Caenorhabditis elegans: one gene and its partner. The protein of the gene in region 1 interacts with the protein of each later gene in a pairwise test. Each region holds a gene or a part of one and is shown on either strand. Other genes may lie near its edges. The genes, in order: pacs-1 and wdr-37.

The links.
Region 2: the proteins of pacs-1 (region 1) and wdr-37 interact in a two-hybrid assay, tested with the Caenorhabditis elegans proteins (one large-scale study listed by BioGRID).

Annotation. Positions count from the first base shown.
Region 1 is NC_003283.11:9,209,737-9,221,813, reverse strand, and holds pacs-1 (Phosphofurin acidic cluster sorting protein 2), read left to right. Parts: upstream 1-4,555; 5' UTR 4,556-4,635; coding exon 4,636-4,724; intron 4,725-4,973; coding exon 4,974-5,058; intron 5,059-5,106; coding exon 5,107-5,331; intron 5,332-5,378; coding exon 5,379-5,451; intron 5,452-5,504; coding exon 5,505-5,782; intron 5,783-5,827; coding exon 5,828-6,139; intron 6,140-6,183; coding exon 6,184-6,494; intron 6,495-6,544; coding exon 6,545-6,732; intron 6,733-6,780; coding exon 6,781-7,512; intron 7,513-7,561; coding exon 7,562-7,680; 3' UTR 7,681-8,060; downstream 8,061-12,077. Other genes in the region: mdt-27 (MeDiaTor), read left to right, coding at 8,163-8,213, 8,408-8,467, 9,471-9,968, 10,577-10,657, 10,702-10,932, 11,038-11,261, 11,869-11,949, 12,014-12,077.
Region 2 is NC_003281.10:5,594,575-5,605,139, reverse strand, and holds wdr-37 (WD repeat-containing protein 37), read left to right. Parts: upstream 1-5,081; 5' UTR 5,082-5,088; coding exon 5,089-5,296; intron 5,297-5,340; coding exon 5,341-5,817; intron 5,818-6,198; coding exon 6,199-6,471; intron 6,472-6,520; coding exon 6,521-7,023; 3' UTR 7,024-7,161; downstream 7,162-10,565. Other genes in the region: xnd-1 (X chromosome NonDisjunction factor), read right to left, coding at 1-20, 71-260, 307-679; madf-11 (MADF domain-containing protein), read left to right, coding at 1,710-1,776, 1,822-1,913, 1,958-2,219, 2,268-2,539, 3,109-3,336, 3,379-3,431, 3,480-3,763, 3,808-3,947 and 1 more; ced-6 (Cell death protein 6), read right to left, coding at 7,289-7,605, 7,656-8,094, 8,144-8,434, 8,593-8,870, 9,216-9,369.

The DNA of each region.
Region 1 (12,077 bases):
CGAAGAGATAGTGCCTCGCGGAGAAATTCATTGCGCAACACATATCAGTTTGAGTGAATTAGGAGGCAAGAGAAAGGTGAAGGGCGGTGTTTGATGATGGTGAAGATGATGACGAGAACTTTTGGGAATGTTAAGAGGTGTTCTGATCTTCTGTGAGAATGAATGATTTTGAGAAAGTGAAGCCACTTCATCAGACAGCCATTTTCTGTAACAATGAAAATAGAATGTTAGCTGATCTATGGACGCAAGGTTAATGCGAATCGTCTACATGTTACGTAGTCAAATATTCTTGGAAAAAAAAGCTTCAAGTTCTTTATTCAGTTTTCCTTTTGATGTAATGTTTGTTCTTAGTTTAGAAAAGACATATTTCACATTTAGTGTTAGATATAATTTGAGATATGGGATAAATTCCATATCGATCAAATCAGAATTGCAATTGGAAGATTAATTTCTTTGAAAAAAACAGGCTCCAATATGAATGTGTACAAACTTAATATTTTCCAAAATAAATCTGAAGTCTATTGTCAAATTCATTTCTGATTTTTAAAGATTTTATAAATCGCAATTGAAAACTTCCTTGTCTGAATTTGTCAAAAGGAGGCAAAAACTAATGTTCGGGAAATGATGGATGACATTGCAACACGAAGAAGCTGCTAGAGATTCTGAAAAACTCGACAAACAACAAAAATGCAGAAGCCGAAAAGGCTGATGAAGTTATGAGTAGCTTAAATAAAAAAACACTTATAGACATGTATGTATTCTTTTTTCTAAACTTAACGAAACTTCCGATTCATGTGCAAACCTTCCCTAGATGTTTTTTTTTTCAGATTCCAGTTCGTCTCTGCCACAAAAGATATCATTTCAGTACATATTTATTGCAGTGTCCCTTCGAAGAATTATATGACTCCTTGGAAGTACTGGATTTATTGCTTTCTATGTACTTCATGTAAGAGTAAAACAACAAGAAAACTTGGTAATTATTGGGTTAGGATAGAAAAGAAATACAGAAATTGTTTTCCTGTTGATATAAATTTCATTTATGTTTTTCCTAACTAATAATTCATTAAATATACCAACTTTCTTCCTAGTTATTCTCATTTTTCAAGTTTTCCCCTTCTCGATTTAAACTTCCGCCCTTTTCACGCAGTAGCCACTGCGGCCAAACGCGCTCTGCTGGACTAATTTTCTCTGCGTCTCCGCTCATGACTTGAACTTTTCAAGGATTTTCAGAATTTTTCCCTTCGTTTTTCCTCATTCTTTTCTGTTTTCTTTTTATTTTCGAGCTCCGTAAACCTGACCTTTAGTCCCTTTCTTCAATATTCGAATAGAAATTTACAACCGGAAGCCTTGTCTGCTTGAAAAACAGAAAAATTAATTTCGCACATGCAAGAGCGACTCTTGAAGAATTTTTGACGCTTGTTTTATTTGGGATTCGAATCCGGATTCTCGTTGTCTGAATTGCTCATTCTTTTTTCCCATCCTGAATCTTTAATTATCGTCAATTTTAAATACGGAAAACAAACATTTCGTCCTACTCTTCTCTTGTCTGCTCCCCAGTACCCAAATAGAGCTTCTTTCACTACTCTGTTTTCGGCTTGTTTCCGTCGCAACGGAAACAAAACAAATTCTCAAAATTCCCACAAGTGGAAAGCATGGAATATTTTGATAATATTAATTTTTAATCCTTGATTCGTACACTTCCTTCCCTTTTTTCATTTCCTGTAGAAAAAAGGCTTATAACATGAGCGTTAGTATTTTATCTTCAATTTATTCCATATCCGAGAATAGCAATAAATAGATGGCACGTGTCCTCGAGGACCTTCGAAAATGACATCGCGAGCACACCGACAACCAAAAACCGCCGGAACTAGCGATGAAACTTGAGAAAAAACATGCCCCAGCGGTTCCCGTTCTAAATTAGTTTATTACGCTAACATCGACGGATATGTGCCATTTTGTATATTCAACCATAACGTATAAATAATGTGGGCTTCTATATAAATACGCTCTGTACTCTCCGAGTTTATCTTGTTATTTTTCCATCACAAATTGGTTAGTTATTCTCAAGAAATAATTATCGTTTTAAGTTTCACTATTTAGTCAAAATATACCTCGTGCTCTTTCGTCTTTTCTGCTGGCTAGTAGCCTCAAAGCAATCCTGGGTCCTCGTTGTTGTTATCACTCTCTAGACTGAATGTTAGCACTCTCTCAAAAACTCAGCTGATCTTTTCCCAAGTTCGCGTTGTGTCATTTGCAGCAAAATGGGACGGCAAGTAGTTTCGGTGTCCGGAACCATCCAGCTAATGATATTTTGTTGTATGTAGCGGGTCACACAGAGAAACGAAGAGAAACTCAACTGCCATTGGCACTGCACGGCGGCTAATCCCTCAAACACATTGGAGAATACTGGAGGCACGCCTACTCGACGACCCGTTCGACGATTCATTGTGCGTCCGTGTTGCGAGTCTCCGAGAGTCTCGGAAAGAGCATTGCCCTTATTCTGCGTCTCTTTTTCTTTCTTTCCATTGCATTCTCGAGTCCCATTTCTACTGCATCTCTTTTTCGCGCCTCCCTCACTTGTCCCCCATCGTGTCAATGCTATGTCATCATCGTCATGCTCCGAGATGGTCGTTTGTCATTCTCTGAAGCTGTCAAGACAATCGCCCATTTATTTCTTTAGATGAGTGGAAAGGGAAAAGCTCAATGTTATTTTCTATTTTTCTTCGCTCTATCTTCTTCAGCTACAATACAATAGTTTATTTTTAAAAACGCGTATAATTTCTAAATTAGCTGTGTCCGGAAATGAAGATTCAAGGTAATTGTCTCTTTTCATCGCTTCATTTCCCGTTCCCGCTGTTTTCTAATTAGCTTATTATTCATAGAGTGCAAACATCGAACGCTTCGTTCTCTCTTTTCCGTTCTCTTATCGTCTCTGTTGCTCCCTATTTCTAGTTTTGTTATCGAATCGGTCGCCATCGAGACGGAGCGGCTGCATCTATTTGTTATCTGATTTGTAGCGTTGCTATCGTCATAACAGTTAGATTATAAATTATTTTCCACCTTTTTTTGAGTGGAAAAATTAATTCTCGTCATCTTCATTCCAGTTAGAAATTAACGAAATTCTGTCAACTTTAATTAAGCTGTAAGAGCCTCAAAACCAACACCATTGCGTTGTGCTGCGCAAAGAGAGAAAGGTATCCAATTTTAATCCAAGAAAAAAGATCTTCTACCACCACTGCTACATATAAAGGATTTTTGTGTCTCTGGCGACAACGGAAACCCCCACATTTCCGGGTCCTTCTCTTTTTTCCAGCACACACAGAGTGGTATCGGCAAACGTCTCAGTCAATCAGATTCAACGATTTAGTTGGTTGATATATCAGCAAGTTCGATCTTTCGCGTGGAGGATGATTGATGCGTTGTCCTGTCAGTTCGAATTCCCTAGATGCGTTTGATGGAACATTCTTTTCACGTATTTTCCGTGCTCTCGCGCCTGCCATCGCTCTCTTCTACCTGAAATATGATATTGGTCATTGGATTCTTTGTGGCGTTTTCTGTGGATATGATTCTACAAGTCGCAAAAGCCTATTGTTGTCGTAATCTGCACGTAATTTTTCGAGAATATCATTCAATTAAACTCTGTATTTCTCAAATTCGATCTCTCGAAAACATAATAAAGTTAGACTCTTATAAACGTGCGAAGTACCTAGATGTTCCGTTTCAATTAAATTTATTTTAAACATTCTCACGATATTTAGAATCAAATTCAGTACGGTTGACCAGACCTATTATCTCGGTGTCATTTCATGCCATGTTCTATATTTTTCCGCTACCTTCTCCATCTTTTTATTAATGAGAGACATAGACGCAATGCGCGTAAGTGTCTTGGGATCGTGAACACCTTTTCACCACAAATTTAATTTCGCGACCTTTTGTCGACGACACATTGAATGGAGGGTTTCTCAACACCCTCGTTTCCCTTTTCATTGACAAAAAATCAGTTCCAATCCCTTGAGAATACATTTCGAAGAGCCGCTCTTTCTAGCTGTTGGATATAAGCCTTCATTTTCGTCCTAATTCCTATTCATGTGTAGCTTTCCTTCTCTCCCACGCGTTCAATATTTTTTGTTTATTACTCAATGCTGAAATGCTTTCATCTCTGAGAAAGAAAATTTGATTTGGAGAAATTAACAGAAGGAAATCTCCGCAATCCTGACATATAAACATGATATTCTGTCGCCGTGATTTTTTCATCGCGAAGTTCATGAACAATCATATTCAGTACTCCTAGATGTTTCACATTCAGTTTTTTCGGTTATAGTGAACAACTTTTTGCCATTCGTTTTTACACCTATAACGTGTCATAATCTCTTTTCTACCGAAAAACTGACTAGTTTTAACGGTTTTCAGATCCTACAACAACAATTTCACCGGCGGTTGTTCTCTAAACAAAAAGTACACTAGAAACATGATATTTCCACATTGATTCATGTTTTGCTTCAATTTTTCTATCTTTTGATTTTTCCTCTCTTTTTCATCGAGTTCATTTTCACAAACCTTTTTTATTTTCAGTATCTAGAAAATTTCCTGTTCTGAAGATGACACTTCATTGAATAACTACGGAAGACTACAAGAATGGATAAACAACATGAGAGCAGTTCAATGGCCATGCGGTTGTATGCCACATGGGATGTCGATAGAGCTACACCGTCTACTGTTCCGAGGTATGTTCACTTCATAATTTAGACGAGGAAAACAATTAATCAAATTTTTACTGGTTTTTGTTATTCTGTGTGCAGACGAACAAGGATTTTAGTTCCTTGTTTTTAAGATAGTCTGTACAAAAAACCGGTACTGAAAATTTGTGGCGCATACTTGAAGATTCGACGATTCAAAGTTCTACATTCAAGTAGTCCAAAAGTAAAAATTGCCATAAGTTATCAGGAATTATCATAATTTGTAATATTTTCCAGGATCTTCAACGTTTCAATTAATCGAATTCTCTTGGATTGTGTATTTCCTGAAGTAAATTCCATCATTGTAACGGCAAAACTTCCGGTAAAAAATAAGGTTTTGAGAAGAGTTTACACAAAAAACAATTTTTAGCTCTCCAAACGAAATAGATATTTGCGGAGCAACGAGATAAAGGTGACGCCGAATCACGGTCGAATCGATTTGGATTGTGATATCTCATTCTGCATCCAATATCCACATTTTTTGAAAAGAAAATCAAATGTGCTTCAAATATTGATTCAACGAAGGAAAAAGTTTAAAAATCGTCTTCCTGGAGGTCTTCGTGATCTCGCTGTCGGGAATATTAATCTCACTTACGTAAGTTTTTTTTGGTTAATCGGATTATCCAATTGAAACAATTACAGATAATGCAACAAGGTGGTTTACGGGAAATTCAGTTGAACCCAACTTCTGAAAATGAGGTTGAATTGAAAGGAGGTTTGTGTCTTATTTTGAAAAATCATTGAAAAAAAGCGTTGTTTATTTTTCAGTTGGCGCGTGTGCTGGAAAAATTTTCCTTTCCTCCTGTTATTCACAAGCACCTGAAATTGTTGATGATCGTGACAAACAGAAAAAGAATGTCGAAGATTCTGAAGATGAAACAGAAACAGACTATGATGATGTTGGTGATGAGCTGAATGAAATGCCAAGTGCACGAAGCGGTCGGCATAAAACATCCACAGATATTGAAACAAGGACGGGACGAACAAAAGGAAAAAATTTGAAATATCAGATGAATAAATTGTTCAATATGTTCCGACCAGAAGATGTAAGTATTTACGAATTGTCTAAAAATAAACATTTTTAAATTTAGGGGCGACGTCCGGTGGTCAAAGAAATGCCGTGGGAAGATGACGACATCGATTCACCATACGATTCTGGACCGGAGATGTTTAATGATGACGCATCGATCAGAAGCAACCGTCGGCCTCAGCTTGCACCATTTTTTGATTCTAAAGAGAAGAACGATCATCTTGCTGCAATGTATGAAGTTTCTGACGGAGAAGGGGATCATGGTGAAGGAGGATGGAATTCTGATGGAGATAATACTAAAGAAAACGTCGCGCGACACCGATTAATTCAGAAGGATTCGATTGGTTCCGGTCATCCAGACTATTCAGTTCAGGTAATTGTTATTTAACTGATTTCATTTTTAATAACATTTTTCAGACACCTGTGCGTTCTGCCGGAATACGCGTTGTATCATCATCATTTGATTCACATTCGATGCCACATTCCTCGACTCTCAATTCAATAAAAAATGATCACGGAGTTCATCGAGGAGTGAGCTTGTCAGAACAATTATGCTCCATTCTTGGATCGAGCATGTCTCCTGAAGGAAGTGATGCTGTTTGGTTGTGTAATTTATCAGAATGGCCTGCATATTCGATACTGGGTGGTCCAGTACCTATTGTAAACTGCCCTTCATTTTCGCAAGTTAGACAGACGCTGAGCCATGTTATAAATCGTATTCAAAATTTGTGAGTGTTTCTTTCTCATTTCATTCTATAATATGAGCTTATAATTCCAGCTGCCACTCCAACTCATCAAATCCTCCGTTGACAATCGTTGGAATCATCGGAACTGACAAACTCTTCTCACAAGTCGTTAAAGCTTATGTGGAGTGTCTGGCCCATAAATCGCTCGCCAATCTCGTCAATCATCTCCGATTCGTGGCCATCCCGTCGACGAGCTCTCTATTTTATAAGATGATCGAAGGTATTTTCAAATTTTCTTTTATTCTAATATATTGCTTGTTATTTCCAGGGATCGATCCACAACTCGACAATTTATGCAGAGATCTCTGGGATCGTTTTGGAGACATGACATTGCCAGAAAAAACTTCATTGGCTAATAAAATTGCTGCTTGGCCAAATAGTGTCAGCTCGTCAAAGATGAATATGCCAATAGGCGAAGCTATGCTTCAATTGACTGCTGATCGCGATCCTGAAGGTGGACGTGTGTTTTTACCTTTCCTCAGTGAAGTTCGTGTCGGAAGTCAACAGTGTGAAATTGAAAATGATGATGACTCAAATGGACTCAATGGATTCGCACAAACTGTAATTTCTCCACGAGAAGAGTCGGTTATATCGAAAACTGATGGATCGTCTCCACCTCATTCTCCACAACTTCGAAACGTCGATGGCCAAGAACTTAATATGGATTTCTGGCCGAATAATCCCGTTCCGCAATCATCACAATACTCGTACGGCTCTGATTTCCCTCCATCATCTTCGAATACAACTCCGAATTCTAAAAAAGATACAGCCAAGGTCACAATTAAAGCTCATTTCAAAACACTGCTTGTGTCGAGATCTCCAAGTTCTGGTTCATTGAGTCTTACCTATTTAAAAGAAAAAAGGAAAGACAAAATGCTACAAAAACTGGGAATGAAGAAAGGACAAAAGCAGAAACCAGAGGAAGGAGCTGCTCCATCTCAAGTATCTTCTATTGGAAGAATGCTTTGCAGTGCTACCGGAAAGCACAATGAATTGACTGGTTCGTTTTTTTTTGTTTTGAGCTGTAAAATAAGCAGATTTATTTTCAGTTATCATCGATGGAAATGCTTACAATGGCATCAGATACTTTCAAACATCTCCACAATGGCAGACGCATATCAAATCCTTCCCAATTGCTTTCTTCACTCCGAATGTCTGCACAGCTTGATCGTTTACATTTTGAGTGTATCTACTCATGTCTTCCAATTTCTTTTTATCATCTCTGTTTCATAATTTACACCTCAATCTCGCTTCTATTGATTTGCCTGTATAATATGTAAGTGTTCCCAAAGTGTCGAATATTAATCTATTTCTTTTTTGTTGCTATTCTCTATGTTAAAATATTTGTACACCTTCCCCCACACGGTTCCGTTTTCTCTCGTTTTCTTGTCCGATGATGCCCTTGAAATATGCTTTTCCGCCAATTTTTCACCTTGAAACATGTGCATCGCACCAACAAACGCTTTATTTTTTATGTTTTTACATTCCGAATTTCAACTCATCGTTCATTCGATTTTTAAATAAAAGCTTTTGATTAATTTTATATAATTAAAAAATATATGTTTCAGTGTTGTTTTTTTTTGTTCCCCCGGGCCAAGTCATTATTTTGTTGAAAAAAAAATTGTTTTAAAAAATTGGCGAGTTCAGATAATGGGAGACAATACAATCCGGATAAAAAGCGAAAATTCGTTCGGAAATACGGTATAGTTTTTGTCATTTAATTTTTTTATAATTAAAAAAAATTAACAATTCACTGGCCCCCACGGTAGCTGAATATTGAAACAAATTTTGATCTCAATTATCTTTTTCGGCAGGGGAAACTGCGGCATATGTTTAGCTTGAAAAAATTACTCGAAACACGCAGATTCAAAATCCTTATTTTTCAAAATGTTCAGGCTGCAAATGGAAGATTCCCAGATACTCCTTTTGGACGAAGGCCGCCCCTTGTTAGCAAAGTAAGTTTGTGTCAATGTCATTTTTTTCTTAAAATCAACTTAAATAATAATAATAAATGACAAAATTTAGCTGCTAAAAATAAATTAAAACTTTATATTATAGGAAACGTTGATCCCTTTAATAACACTATTTGTGAAAAGTGTCGGAAAAAATACAATTAAAAACTAGTACAATTTGTGATAGAATTGTTTAAAGTTACGATGCTAGTAGAAATTTACTAAAAACCACAAAAAAGTTTATACCCAAGTGAGAAAAAAGATTTGTTTTTACATCTAAAACTTGAAGATCCCTTTTTTCCACAAACATTGAAACAACTTTGAGAAATGCGCAGATTTTTTTTCAAAAATAAAACATGCTTCAAGATTTTCAAATTAATTCATATCGATTTTTTGTAAAAATCTCGATTAGTGCTTCTTAGCAATTTTTCTTTATACTAATTTACCTCATTTCGATTGAAAATTGAAAAAAAAAAACAAGATATTCTAAATTAGTTCAAGTAACTATTTAAATCTTGGCACGTGCTGTTTATCGCTTTTATAAACATTGGAATTTTGTTTATACCAAAATTAAGTCATTTGCGATCCCCTCACTCTGAAGTAGTTCATCAAACGCGCTCTATTGAAAACAAGACTAATGCAGTTGTAGGGAAGCGTTGGAAAAGTGTATACCAGCAATGAAGAAGTGAGAGACGCAGACACCGTATATTGCCTATTGCAGAAAATGGTGTTTTCACAGTTAATGTATATTTCTATTTGATCGATAACATTTTTCTATTTAGTTTTCAGTTAGATAGATCATTTAAATTAAATATTATTGTTTTTTCTTTTCATAATTTTATTTAAAACAATTAAAATTCAGTTAAACTTTTTTATTTATTGTGTTGATTTATCTTTTAATTTCAATCACAATCTCAAAATTTAGATAATACACCGTTTTCTTTATTTTGAAAAAAATTGTCAATTTCATTCAGCACTAATTAATATAAATCGGAAAATTTTTTAGATAGACGGTCGAGCCCGGATTTTGAGACCACTTCGTCCGGCAGCCATGCAATCCAATCAGCAACCGACCACATCTGCAAATGCTTCAGGACCATCGGGAGCACGTATCTCTTCGGGTAATATTCCTCACTCTCAATCGATGCCTGTTCTTCAATCTGGAAACACTGCTAACCGACCTTCAACTGCAGGGAATCCGGCAGCTGGACGACCGATTTTAACACTTCCATCAAATACAACGGAGAAGCACGTAATTGCGTTAAATCAATGGGCAGAAGTGATGAAGAGTAAATTGGAGAAAATGCGTCAAAAGTCGAAAAAAGCATTAGACGAATCGATGAAAGAGCATTCGACAATGGAAGATTTATCAAGAGCAAGAGAAGCATTATCAGAAATGGGAAATATGTATTATGAATTGAATAGAGCAGCAGCACTCAAATGTCGATATAATGCTGTATTTGACAAAAGGCCTCTATATAAAGCTGTTGAATCATCAATACAAGTGAGTTTTTGATTAATTTAGTTTAATGATTAATGATTAAGATTCTTAGTTCAAAAGTCATAATTTATAGTTTTTTAAGCTTTTTTTTTTGTCCTAACACAAGTGACGGAAAAAAAAACAGTCTCAATGTAGTAATATAACATTGTTAAGTTCTAATTTTTTTTCAACGAAAAAATTGAAATAAGCTGATGAATTTTAGAATTCAGCGGAATAACTTAAAGCAGATTTTTTTGCATTTTCCGGATATATTGATTAGTTTTTTATTCGTTTTTTTTAAAGATGTGATTTGAAACATTTTTGTCAAATTTTCAGACATTTTACAGTAAGGAAAACTTGAGAAAACAAGAAATTTGTTGAATCTCTAATTTTGGTATAAAGATAGATAATTTAACGTTTATTGTGGAAAAGTCCCTGAAAATGTGACAAACGATGTTTCAAATTCTACAACAATTTAGAAAAATTCTATAATTTGTTTAACAAATATATTCACTATACGGAGACTGTTTTCTTTCATTTTTAACTCTTTCTGCGAAGACATCATTTTAAATGAGAATAAATTATTTAAAAAAACCGTTTGCCAACTTGGAACTTTAAATATTTAATTTCAGGATCTCAGACAGAAAGATGAAAGTGCTTATCAATTATTCTACAAATTACAAGAGGCAATGGACGAGAGGACAGTTATTGAGGTAATATTTGGAAATACTCTGAATTCGTTACATTCTAATTTCAGAAAAACATTATCGCTGTGTCAGAAACATTTCGTCAAAACGCTGTTCATGCTCCGAGAGTCTCAAGATTATCTGTCCCACCACCTTTGAAATTCTCGAAACACGTTGAAGATGCGAATAAAGGAGTTTTCTTAGCAATGGATGCTGTTATGAATAAAACGAGGGGTGATTTGACATGGAGATTCAAAAGAATCAGTCATCCATGTTTTAGGAATTCAAAAAGTCTCATTGAAGTGAGTTTTTCTTCCAGTCTAATTTAGAAAAATATAAACCTTTTTCAAAAATCTTTATTCCCGAAACCAACTCCCGTTTCCCAATGTAAAATGGCTTTAATTCAGGTTCACTACTGTGCTCGGCGCCCAAATAGTGAAAAAGAATTCGTTCCGTGTATGAAAGCTGTTATTGTACTCAAATATGGAATTCTCGAAGATATGATTATTGGAGGCGAAGATGAAGATTTATACAATCAAGAACAAATTCTACATTCGAAACGGAAAGTCTACAGAGAATTCACAAAATCGGCCAAAGAGATTATACTTTGCTCGCCAGTTACAAAGTTTACGTAAGTTTTAAATTTTTAAACGAAATTATGTAAAATTAAAAAAACATGAATTACTGGAAATCTTTATAGAAAAATATTTGTATATTAAGCATTTTTTCGTTTAGAGAAATTTCGAGACATTCCCAATTTTCTACATATTTGGAAATGAATTTTGTGCGCCTAGTACATTTTTAAAAAAAGCTTGAAATCCATTTTAGATATTAAAAAAAAACGGTTTTACAAATTACAAGCCAATTTCCAAAAAATTTCTTGAATTTTAAATAAAGAAAGGTTGGCTCGCATAAAATATGTGTAATGCATAAAAAATCTATATCTTTAAAAACTATCTAAAGTGGATTCGAAATTCTCCTAAAATACCACATTACATTTTTTTATTAGCCACATAAAAAAAATTTTTGTCAAATTCGAAAAACATTTTTTTTAAATAATTTCTTTTAAGATTTTTCCATTATTGTTAATAGAAATTTATTTTTGGATGTAATTTTTTAGTAAAAAAAAACTATTATTCGCCAAAAAAACGATGCCAAATCATCTTTTAATTAGAAAAAAACTCGAAATTTATTTTTTTAAAAAAGGTAATTTTCTTATTTATTGGATTAATTTTCAGTGCACCCACAAACTTCGCCCAATGCAACAATTACATTCAGTCTTATGTGAACTGTTTCTCAACTAAATGCTATTATTGCAAGTAAGTTTTATTTTTTTTTAAATATAAATCATGTTTTTTTGAAAATAATAGTTTTTTTTTTCAGAAAGCATCTGCGACAGTTTATGCCTCCAACCGTTGTCACGAGAGAATCGTCTCCAATCATTTGC
Region 2 (10,565 bases), on another chromosome or scaffold:
GGTCGGCCATAATTTTAATTCTGAAGACGGGTGATTGTTTTGTTTAATAAAAAACTTTTTAAAAACTAACGCTTCCTCCTCTTCGTCGAATCCAACAACGTCCACATCCTCATCAGAGTCTGTAAGCACTATTGGCTTAGATACAACAGGATTCGGATTTTTTGGAGAATTTTGTGCCTTTTCGAGTGTTACTTGTTGGTTATTAACAACTAACGGGGACTTCGACTTGTCTGTATTCTGAGAACGAATGACGTAGACTTCTGAAAACAATATTTTTATTTAACAGAGGACCATTTGCAAACAAACTTCTTCGTGGCAAATTTGGATCCGTAGCTTTTTTAACTGGCTTTGGTGGAGGTGGGAGACAGGAATCTCCGAATGAAGCCCATCCAATATGAGCTTTAGGTTCATAATTACTAGAAGATGCCGGTGGTGAATCAGTTTCGTCGTCGTCGTCGACTATCAGAAGATCATCGACGCTCAACGTTTTCTGGGATGTGGAAGGTTCATCATCTTTAGCAGTTTGCGGTTTTGGATCAACTTTTGGAAACTTGACCGCTGCTCGTTCTTCTTCATTCATAAAAGCAAATGACATTGGGGATATTGGTGGAAAAGCTGCGGGTGCAGGCTCTGTCGTCATGGAATTGTCTAGATTGGCAACAATGGGTTCAGAAGACATCCTGGAAACAAAAAATATGGAGATAAAATTTTTAAATTTAAATTTAAACTGTTTTTATTTACCAGAAAACTAGAAAATCCCAATGAGAAAGAAGGGAAATTAATAGAAAAATAAAGTTTTAAAAATACCTAAATTTTCTACAGTACCCGAGGTCTCGCGAAGATTTTGGTCCGCAGTACGCAAACACTCTTATGCTTGTTTACCGTAACCACTGAAATATTTTTTCGTTGTTTTTCTTTATTTAAAAAAAGTTATCTATTTTTCGAAATTTATTGAAAATTTCACATTTCAAAACCGTCAATAATTCTTTTAAAATTCATTTTTCGCAATATGGATTTTCTTCAAATGTTAAACCAGAGTTTTCTTGTAATTCCTTGAACAAATCACATTTTTAAATCACATAACCATTTTCGTTTCTGGAAATCTTCACTTTGAAGTTGAATTCTTGTTAGATTATATTTGTTTAACTCTGAAAAATAGTTAAAATGTGTGTTTTTATATGTTTTGTTTCAGATTTCCCCTGCTTTGTTTTCCTTTCCTAGACTAAGTTTTTAAATTTCGATCAATCCTTTTTCTTCATTTTACCCTCTCAAAACCATTTATTTACTCACTTGAGAGACGCAGAGAAACCATCGATGGCCTAGATGTCTCGTCTCGCCTCCTTCTCGGCCACGCGCGCCTATCTATCGATGTTTTTCTGCCTGTTCGCTCCGTTTTCTTTTTCGAATCTTGACCGCTTCGCATGCCTGTTCCGTTGCGGTTTCTGAAGCGTTTCGGTTGCGTCGCGGTTCCCGGCTCCGCCCTACTACCCGTTCGAGTCTCCCACGGTCTGTAGCACGTCTATCACCTATGTGAATGAGTGTGTACGATCATCTTCTTGCCAATCGGGTTATTGGGTTCAATGGATCGTAGATTGATATGAAACTCGAATTCGGGAAGGAATCGCCACGCAACGCAGCTAGAAATGCTTGAGAAACTTGCGAGAATTTGAGAAGAAAATAAATTTCAGAATTATTATTAAAAATTTCCAATGAGCGACCGACGGCGGCACGGAACAGAGGATTATCAAATCGCCGGTCTCAAGCATTCAATGACAAGTAAATCGATATTCATAGATTCAGAATTTCCAATAATTTTTCCAGGTGTCGCCTCAAGCTCCCACGGTGGTGCTGGAGACCTCCAACAACAATTTTCCAGGGAAGATCCACCCGTAAAAACTACGCAATACACACTTGTAAGCTGGAAAACGTTTAAAATTCAAAATTTTCAAATTTTCAGCTTCAACTAATCAATATGGTTCGAGAAAATCCGATTCTCTACGATGAGGAGATGCAAGCCGCCACGCCGGATGCTCAGTTGAAGGTTCAGAAACGAGAAGCATGGGATCGGATACGTGCTGATATAGTTTGGCAGGACATCACTCTTGTTCAGGAAGTCTGGTCGGATCTTCTCGATCAATATGCTAGAAAATCGATTGATATGTCCGATGGACTAATTGAGGCAATGCGATGGACAGATTCATTGATTTTTAAGAAGAAATGTAAGAGTTTCTTGCAAAGAAATACACCAAAATCATTTATATTTTCAGCAGACTCTCGACCTCCTTCACAGCTCACCGCAATGTCCTCCGGACTGGATAAGGATTTCTATAATGACGTTCCGCTGGCAGAAGATGTATTAGAACCCGGACAAAGTCTCGGAAATTCTGAATCCATGAAGTTCGATTATGTGGTTATTCAGCCTCATGTTAGGCCACATCAACAAATTCCCACATCTTCATATTCCCGTCGAAAATCACCACAATCAAGAGAAACAGAGGCAATTGTTCGAACTTATCCATTATCGCCGAAGCGGATAGTGGTAAGTGCAAAAACGATGAAGTAATTACTACTCAGACCCTAATTTTTCCGATTTTTGCTGACTATGAGATAACCGGTCTCGTCACAACAATTTTTGTTAAATACGACAAGATGCGCGCCTTTAAGGAATACTGTAATTCCAAACTTTTGTTGCTACGGAATTTTCATCGATTTTCATAGCTTTTCAACAAAAATTTGAAATTACAGTACTCTTTAAAGACGCACACTTTATTGTATTTAACAAAAATTAGTCATGTCGAGACCTGGTACCGTATGTTTGGCGCAAAAATCGCAAATTTCACGTCTGGGTAATAGCAAAGGCAAGCATTCAAAAACCCCTTACCGGCCTCGCTTGCGGTGATGCACGGGTGGCCTACTGGCTAACACTCTCGTCTGCAAAGCAACAGTCCACAAGTTCGACCCCGCTTCATGGTGCATTACACTTTGTAACTTGCATTGTGTGCGCGACTAATGAAGCAATACCAATATCTGCAGTATCTGCTCATTCGCCGTGTTGTAGTTGATGAGCTCGTAGTCCGATAACAATTTTTTGATTTTTTTTCATTCCAGCAACAGCATCGTATGCCACAGAAGAATAATCCAGACCAACAACATCAAATGAATGAAGTCAAAAAGGAAGTTAATCCGTTTGGACGACAAGGTGTATTGGTGGAGGTGGAACCATCACCCTCCTATGCTCAATCGAATACGAAAATTTACAAAATGGTCTCCGCGCATAGAAGTGCAACGCCGCAACCTGCAGTTACAGTGGCTTCATCTAGAAGATTGGTACATATGGTAGGAAAAAATAATTTATTTAAATAAGAATTAAATTTTCAGCCTCACCGAACAAACTCCCTGGTTTATGATTCGATGCCAGAACTTATAGATTCGTGAGTTTTTTTTTTACTTCTTAAACTTCACTTAATAAAACATTTCAGTTCAAATATGCCATCGGAACCACCAAAAAAGAAAATACACTTGGAAGTGGGTCATCGAAATAGTGAAATGGTCGGTGTATCAACCTCATCAAATGCCCCGTGTCTACCCAAAGAAATTCTAACCGATGGAGTCCCAATTGCCGACGATGAGATTATTTTAGAAGCTGATGGAGAGTGTAAAATAGGTTCTGGAATGCTTCTGGAATCTCAACAATCAAGTTCACAAAATCATGAAATGGATATGCCATCAACTTCAATGGATCATTATCATCATCAAGATATTGGTAATTTTTCGCTGGAAAAATATGAATATTGAATGAATTTTCAGATGATGGGGGTGTTGGAGATGATATTGAGCAGCAAGTGGTGGTTGGAGGACCTTCTGATGAAATGGCGATACAATATGATGAAGATCTCGCATTTCAACAACATATCAATAGTGTCTTGAACAGGTTATCTGATGATGAGGTAATTTTTGGTTTTTAACAAAATTTACGCGGAAGAGTTTTAAAAATTCGATTTTTCATTAATAAATTGGAGTTTTATACAAAAATTCGAATTTGGATATAAAAAATTTTTTATAGGAAGAAATGTCATTTGCTTACAAAATTTAAATTTTGAGAAAAAACATTGAAAATTGTGGACAAAAATCGAATTTCTCAGAAAAAAGTGAAATTTTCCAAAAAGAAAAAAATACAAGCAAACTTGAAATAATCCTGGATTCAAGTCTTGAGTTACACAGGAAAAATTGTTTTAAAAAATGAGCTAAAACAAAAAAAATCAAATTATGTTCAATATTTGTAATAAATCAGCCTAAAAATCATTGAAGTTCCCATTGAAAAATCACCAGGCAAACTTCAACATCAATATTTAACTTTCGAAATATTAAAAAAATCTATTTTCAGAAATCCGTGATGAAATTCAACATGCAAAAAATTATACTCGACGCAAGATTTGGCTTAGGCACAGCCCGAAATATGCTTAAACACGATGAGATGCTGGAGGTAGAGTCACACGTGGAAATTGATCCGAATCACGAAGTTCCTGAAGAGATTTAGACATTAATTTGACGTACAATGCTTCTGTAATATTTAATTTGTTTTTTTCTTTTTTTCTGAAAAAAATCCATCCTTCTCCCGAAATCAATCATATCAGTGAACATAACGTATTCTTTTTTCTCTTTTCTCCTTTTCTCTCAAAAATATTTATTTTATTTTTTTCGAATATTGTCATTTGTCATAATTTTCAGATGAAATCAATAACATTTTTAATTTTAACAGGAATTGAAACCTTTTTAAATATGGATTTGTCGTCCTTGTGAATATTTATTTTCTTCTAATTTGAATTTTTCAGAATTAATATATAGATTTTTTTTGAATCTGCCTCAAAATAATGGCTTTTAAACCTAAAACCCAACAAAAAATCATTTTTAAATTAAAAACGGGCTGGCAGTGAATCTTTTTTCAATAAAAACTAAATTTAACAGAATGAAAGAAACCTAATTATCAGGAAAATTTTGGAATTTATGAGAGCAAGTTTGAAAAAGGATGAAACAAATTTGCCAATAAGTTTTGCATGTTATAAATATTATTAATTTTGCAGTGGGTCAATGCCACAATCGGAGAATTCAAAAGATGCCGAAAAAGAGAAGGTGATGCGTTCACGACGTGGTACTGTCGATACAGAGATCAGCGGAGCACTCACAGTTCTTCAGAGCTCATTGGACGTTGACGATGCTCCGTATCGAGCCCGTCTCTATCAGCTCTTTGGGCACATTGAAAAGGAGTTTGACACATTGTATGCCGAGAATTGTGCTCGTTAGTTTATGATTTGCAGCCAATCAAAACCTCAATATATCAAGTTTCAGTACGTGCTCGAATTGTTCAATTGACACAAACTGAAGGTGAAGCAGCGAATGTTGTGGCGCAGGAGGTTTTTGGAGTTCAAGAATCTGGAAAATCAAGTCGAAAAGCAATTCAAATGGGTCAAAAGTTGCGAACAGCTCTTCGAGGACCTCCAGTATTCCGTGATGGATCAAAATTCCGATTGAGTCGACTTCTAGAAGGACATAAAGATGGTGTATGGCATGTGGCAGCTGATTCGACAAGAAATATTTGTGCAAGTGCGAGTGCAGATCAAACCGCCCGTATCTGGTCATTGGAAAGTGGAGCCTGTCTGGCAACATATACTGGACACACTGGAAGTGTCAATTGTGTGGCAATCTCCAATAATTGTGCTGTGGATAGTACTGAAGGATCCGGACCAGCGTCAGGACTGTTGCTGGCGACAGCGAGTGGTGATGAGTCAACGCATATTTGGAAGGTTCCCAGTAATAATGGTAAATTTTCAAAAAATTCTTAAAAATTGCAAAGTTTAGCGCTGAAAGTCGCCTAAAATCGCTGGTTTGCCAAAAAAGCAGACAGTTTCTAAAAAAAATAAACAAAAAAGTTTTCAATAGTTTGAAGACTATTGAAAACTTTAAAAACGATTTTACAAAAATTATAGTTGCCAGAAGGCGAAATTTTCGGATTAAAAAAACTTGAAACACAGTTTTTTCAATAAGATTTTGAAATTTCACCGAAATTTATTGAAATATTTTTTAAATTCTTGTATTTTTGAAAAAAAAACACCTAGAAAATGGGCGGGACATGGTAAGCCCCGCCCACAAAATGGACTTCTTCGGAATAATAAACTTCCCTATAGCTATAACTATTTTCAGCTCCATCCGATCACAGTTCCGAGGAAGAAGAGGAGCACCACCGAGATCCGAACAACTTGCTCGGCGTCGTCGAACACAATCGCTTCACCTCGTCCAGCGAAAAATCCGACGGTCATCGGATCCGTGTCCCTGTTATGCGGCTTACCGGACATCGAGCTCCTGTTAGCTGTTGTGAATGGCTTGCTGGAGGACAGCAGATGGTCACTGCTTCCTGGGATCGAACGGCAAATGTTTGGGATGTTGAGAAAGGAGAAGTTGTGAATATTTTAAGTGGTAGGGTGTCACAAAACGACTTTAAATTTCAAAAATGAATAATTTGCAGGTCATGAAAGTGAGCTTAATCACTGTAGCACTCACTCCAATCAAAAGCTCGTGCTCACCTCATCCAAAGACTCCACCTTCCGCCTCTGGGATTTCCGAGAAGCCATACAGTCGGTCGCAGTGTTCCAGGGACACCAGGATTCAGTGACTTCGGTCAGCTTTAACACGGACTATCGAATCGTGTCGTCCAGTGACGATGCTACTGTAAAAATCTGGGATCTTCGAAACATGCGAACCCCGCTGGCCACGATTCGGCTCTCATCACCGGCGAATCGTGTGGCGATCAGCAAGTCACATCCGGTCATCGCCATCCCAATGGATAATCGTCACGTCAGGATCTATGATCTCAATGGAAATCGCCTGCCACGTATGCCGAACCGCCGATGTCACGAACGAATGGTGACGTGCTGTGCATGGCTCGACGAGCATCCTGCCAACAATCTGCTCACCGCTGGTTTCGATAGAATGGTCGCTGCGTGGAAAGTCAATACAACAACTTCATAATATTTAAACTTTTTCTATTTGTTGCCAGAAAAGCTTTGTGACATTTTAGCCATGAGACATTCCAGTTTATTTTTCACATGTAAGTAAGTAAGTAATTTTTAAAAATGATAGCGTGCAAATAAATACATTCAGCTAATAAATTTGGCAAGCCGTTCGGCCAAACCCTGCTAGTAAAAGAATGATACAAGAATAGTACAAGAATGCAATGGAAAAAAATCACCGTGAAACGTAGAAAATTGGAAAATTTAAAAAAAAGGAAATAAACTTATTGCTTCAAATTCATCATTTTCGGATTCAAACGATCCGATGGTGTTCCATAATCGCTTTCGCCTTCGATTCCGCCAAGGTCCCCGGTTTGAAGCTGCCCGAACTCAAATGATCCACTACTCATCGCGGCAAGCTTCTTCTCCACTTCATTGATCATTGCATCATACTCTGCAGCGGTCTTTTTGGGTGGTACAGATGAGGATTCTGGCTTTGGAAGACGAGCGATTGCTTCAGAAGCGAGAAGTTCAGCGGAGGCTGATGGTGGTGCTTCTTTACCATTTTGAATGCCACTGAGGAAGTCCGCACCGAATGGATCTAGAAAATATTACTTTTTTGAAAAGATCTTTTTATTGTTGAAAACTCACTATACTCAGCTGCAGTGCTCTTTTTTTCTCCAGCTCTGGGATCAAACGAATCATCGAAAATATTACTAGGAGCTTTTTTTGCCGGCTCAGCTGACCCCAACTCCAATCCATCCAACAATCCCGCCGTGGAGTTTTTCGGTGAAACAACGGGGTTTCTGCGTGGAGCAACTGGTGGCGGAGGAGCCAGTGCAGGAGGTCTCGGTGGAGGAATTGATGGAGCTGGTCCAGATGGTGATGTGGATGCCGGGCTCACGGATGGTGATGCTCCATTTGATGATGTAGAAATCTGAGGGAGAGTTGGAGCCATTTCAGTTGGTGGAAGATCGTTGGCACGTGGCATGGAATATATTGAGGATGGAGGAATGTTTGGTGGAGGTCCTTGAGGCATCGGAGAAAGTGGAAGTGCTGGAGGACCTAATCCTGGATAGATTGGGGGACCCTGAAAATGTTATATATTAATAATTTGTTTTGTAATTTTAAAAAACTACCGTGTTCTCATAATCAGCTTTACTATTAGCCCGTAGAGCTTCTGCTAATCGCTCAATGAGCACTTGATTCTCGGTTTCAAGCTCCACAATCTTTTTCTTCAAAATGTATATTTGCTTCTGATTCTCCAAAGACGTTCGATTTTTATCAAGGAATCTCTTGTAGGCGAGATCAAAAGCCTCTCCGATAGTTAGAGTGATATCTTCAGCTAGCTTTTCTGATGTGAACGCGTAACAAGACGGCTTCCCACTAGCACCCTCGGCGCGAGCAATAAATGAGAACATTCGCTTGTCCTGAAATTTCGTTGTTGGGGTTTTTTCCGAAATTGTATGATCGAAAGTGTCAATCAAAGTTATTTTACTGTAGGAAAATCGAAAAATTAATGTTTATTTCTCAAAGTATTTCGAGTATTTTAAATTAATTTTTCTAGCTTCAACTCAAAATCTCTTACATCTTTATCATCAGCACAAAACGATATTCTTCCCAATGGAAAAGTGTACATTGGCGCTTTTGTCTTAATATCCGCAATGATCACATTGTCGATCGAGATGCGAATTTCCACTTTTTGCAGTTTCGCCGTCTCCCGCGTTTGTTCAGATCGTTTCAGATCGCGTTGAAATCGAATCGCGTGGATCGCTTCTCTTGCCACGTCACTTCCATTTGCTTTTGGAGTTTCGACGCATCCAAGGAACCGTGCAACATATTCCACATGGCCATTGATAAGATAATCTGAAAATTAAAGAAAAGAATAATTGTCGAATGAAGATTTTTTAATGTTCAAGATAATTCGAAAAATTATTTTTTGGAAAAGCAAAGACATTTATTTTTAAACAAAAATTTTATGAAATTTTACAAATTTCTAAAGCGACTTTACAAAAAGTTACAAAAAAGGCGTTAAAATTTGTTTTGGGAATTCGTAAAAAAATGTTTATAAAAATTTCATCAGGAATTTTTTTTTGAAAAATGTGTTGTATTACGGCATATTTTTAATAAACAACATATTTTCAATAAAAAGATGAAACAAATTGTTCAAACAATTTTTTTCAATTTTTTCAAAGTAAAAATTTAAAAAACCTGGCGGATGAATCCACGTTCTTCCGGTCCCACCACGATATTTTACTTGTGGTGCACTCGTCGACGGGCTTGAAGATCCTTCTCCATTAATATTATTTCCACCGACAATTCCGGAGACCGATCGTTTGAAGGTCTTGTAAATGTCTTTTGCCATCTGATATAGAAAAAGTTTAGAACATTTTTCGTTTAAAAAAATGGTTCAAAAAGTCTCAAGATTTCGGCGAAGAAATGGGGAGGAAAAGAGCAGAAAAGCAAACTGTGTAAACATAAAGAAAAGAAGAAGAATTGATAAAACGATGAGTCAGCAATGGAAATGATCATGAATTGGAGGAGAAATAGACGGATAAATTGTCGGAAACCGGATGATTCAATGAGTCAGTTGGAAGAGGGATCGGATAGATGTATTAAAGAGAGTCCATTATTAGAATAAACAATTTATAAAGGAAAAGGTTCTTTTGGTGGGTCCGAATGTAAATAGACTTTGAGTAAGTATAAACTTAGAAGTGGTACATAGGAGAGACGCAGATATGTCATCTTGTTGGGGTGAAAATTTTGAGAAATTCTGAAAGAATGTACTTGGAAAAAGAATTGAAATATAGTCACATGATATTTTATTAATTCATCGCAAGAGAAGAGAAAGAAATGAAACTTGTGATCGTCAAAGTGAAAATTGAAAAAAAACAAATTGAAATGTTTTTTGGACTAGAAAAAATTCAATCACGGGCTTTCACATAATATCCAGACAATTTTTGGACCAATAATTCGATAAATGTTCTCGACACGACAAATTTGTGCTAAATACGAGAAGGTGTGCTCCTTTAAAGAGTACTGTAGTTTCAAACTTTTGTTGTTCCGGAATTTTCATTTAATTTTAATGGTTTTTCGGGAAGTTTTTTTTTTAATTTAAATTTAAGTTGATCAATCAGGAAGTATGTTTTCATCGAAAAATCGTGAAAAACTGACAGCAACAAAAGTTGAAAAAACAAAGGTGAAACTACAGTACTTTTTAAAGGCGCACACTCGTGAACCAATAACACGACCATGTGTCGATTTACGCAGCTCGTGTACTTCTCGAGGAGAAGTGGGAATTCAGTATTCTACAATTTTACTGTTTCCTGTTAAAATTCTAGACTTTGGATCATTTTCGCTGATTTTTATTGAAATAAAGAATTACTAATTACTACTTGAAATGACAGTTAGTTTTTTTTTCAAGATTCGAAAACTTTCAGGTAAGAAATTAGCTGTAAAATGGAACGATGCTATTATTATTTAACGCCAGTCACCTATATACAGAAAGTTTCGCGTAAAGTGGGGTTCAGTAAGCGGATAGCCTCGGGTGAGGCTGACAAT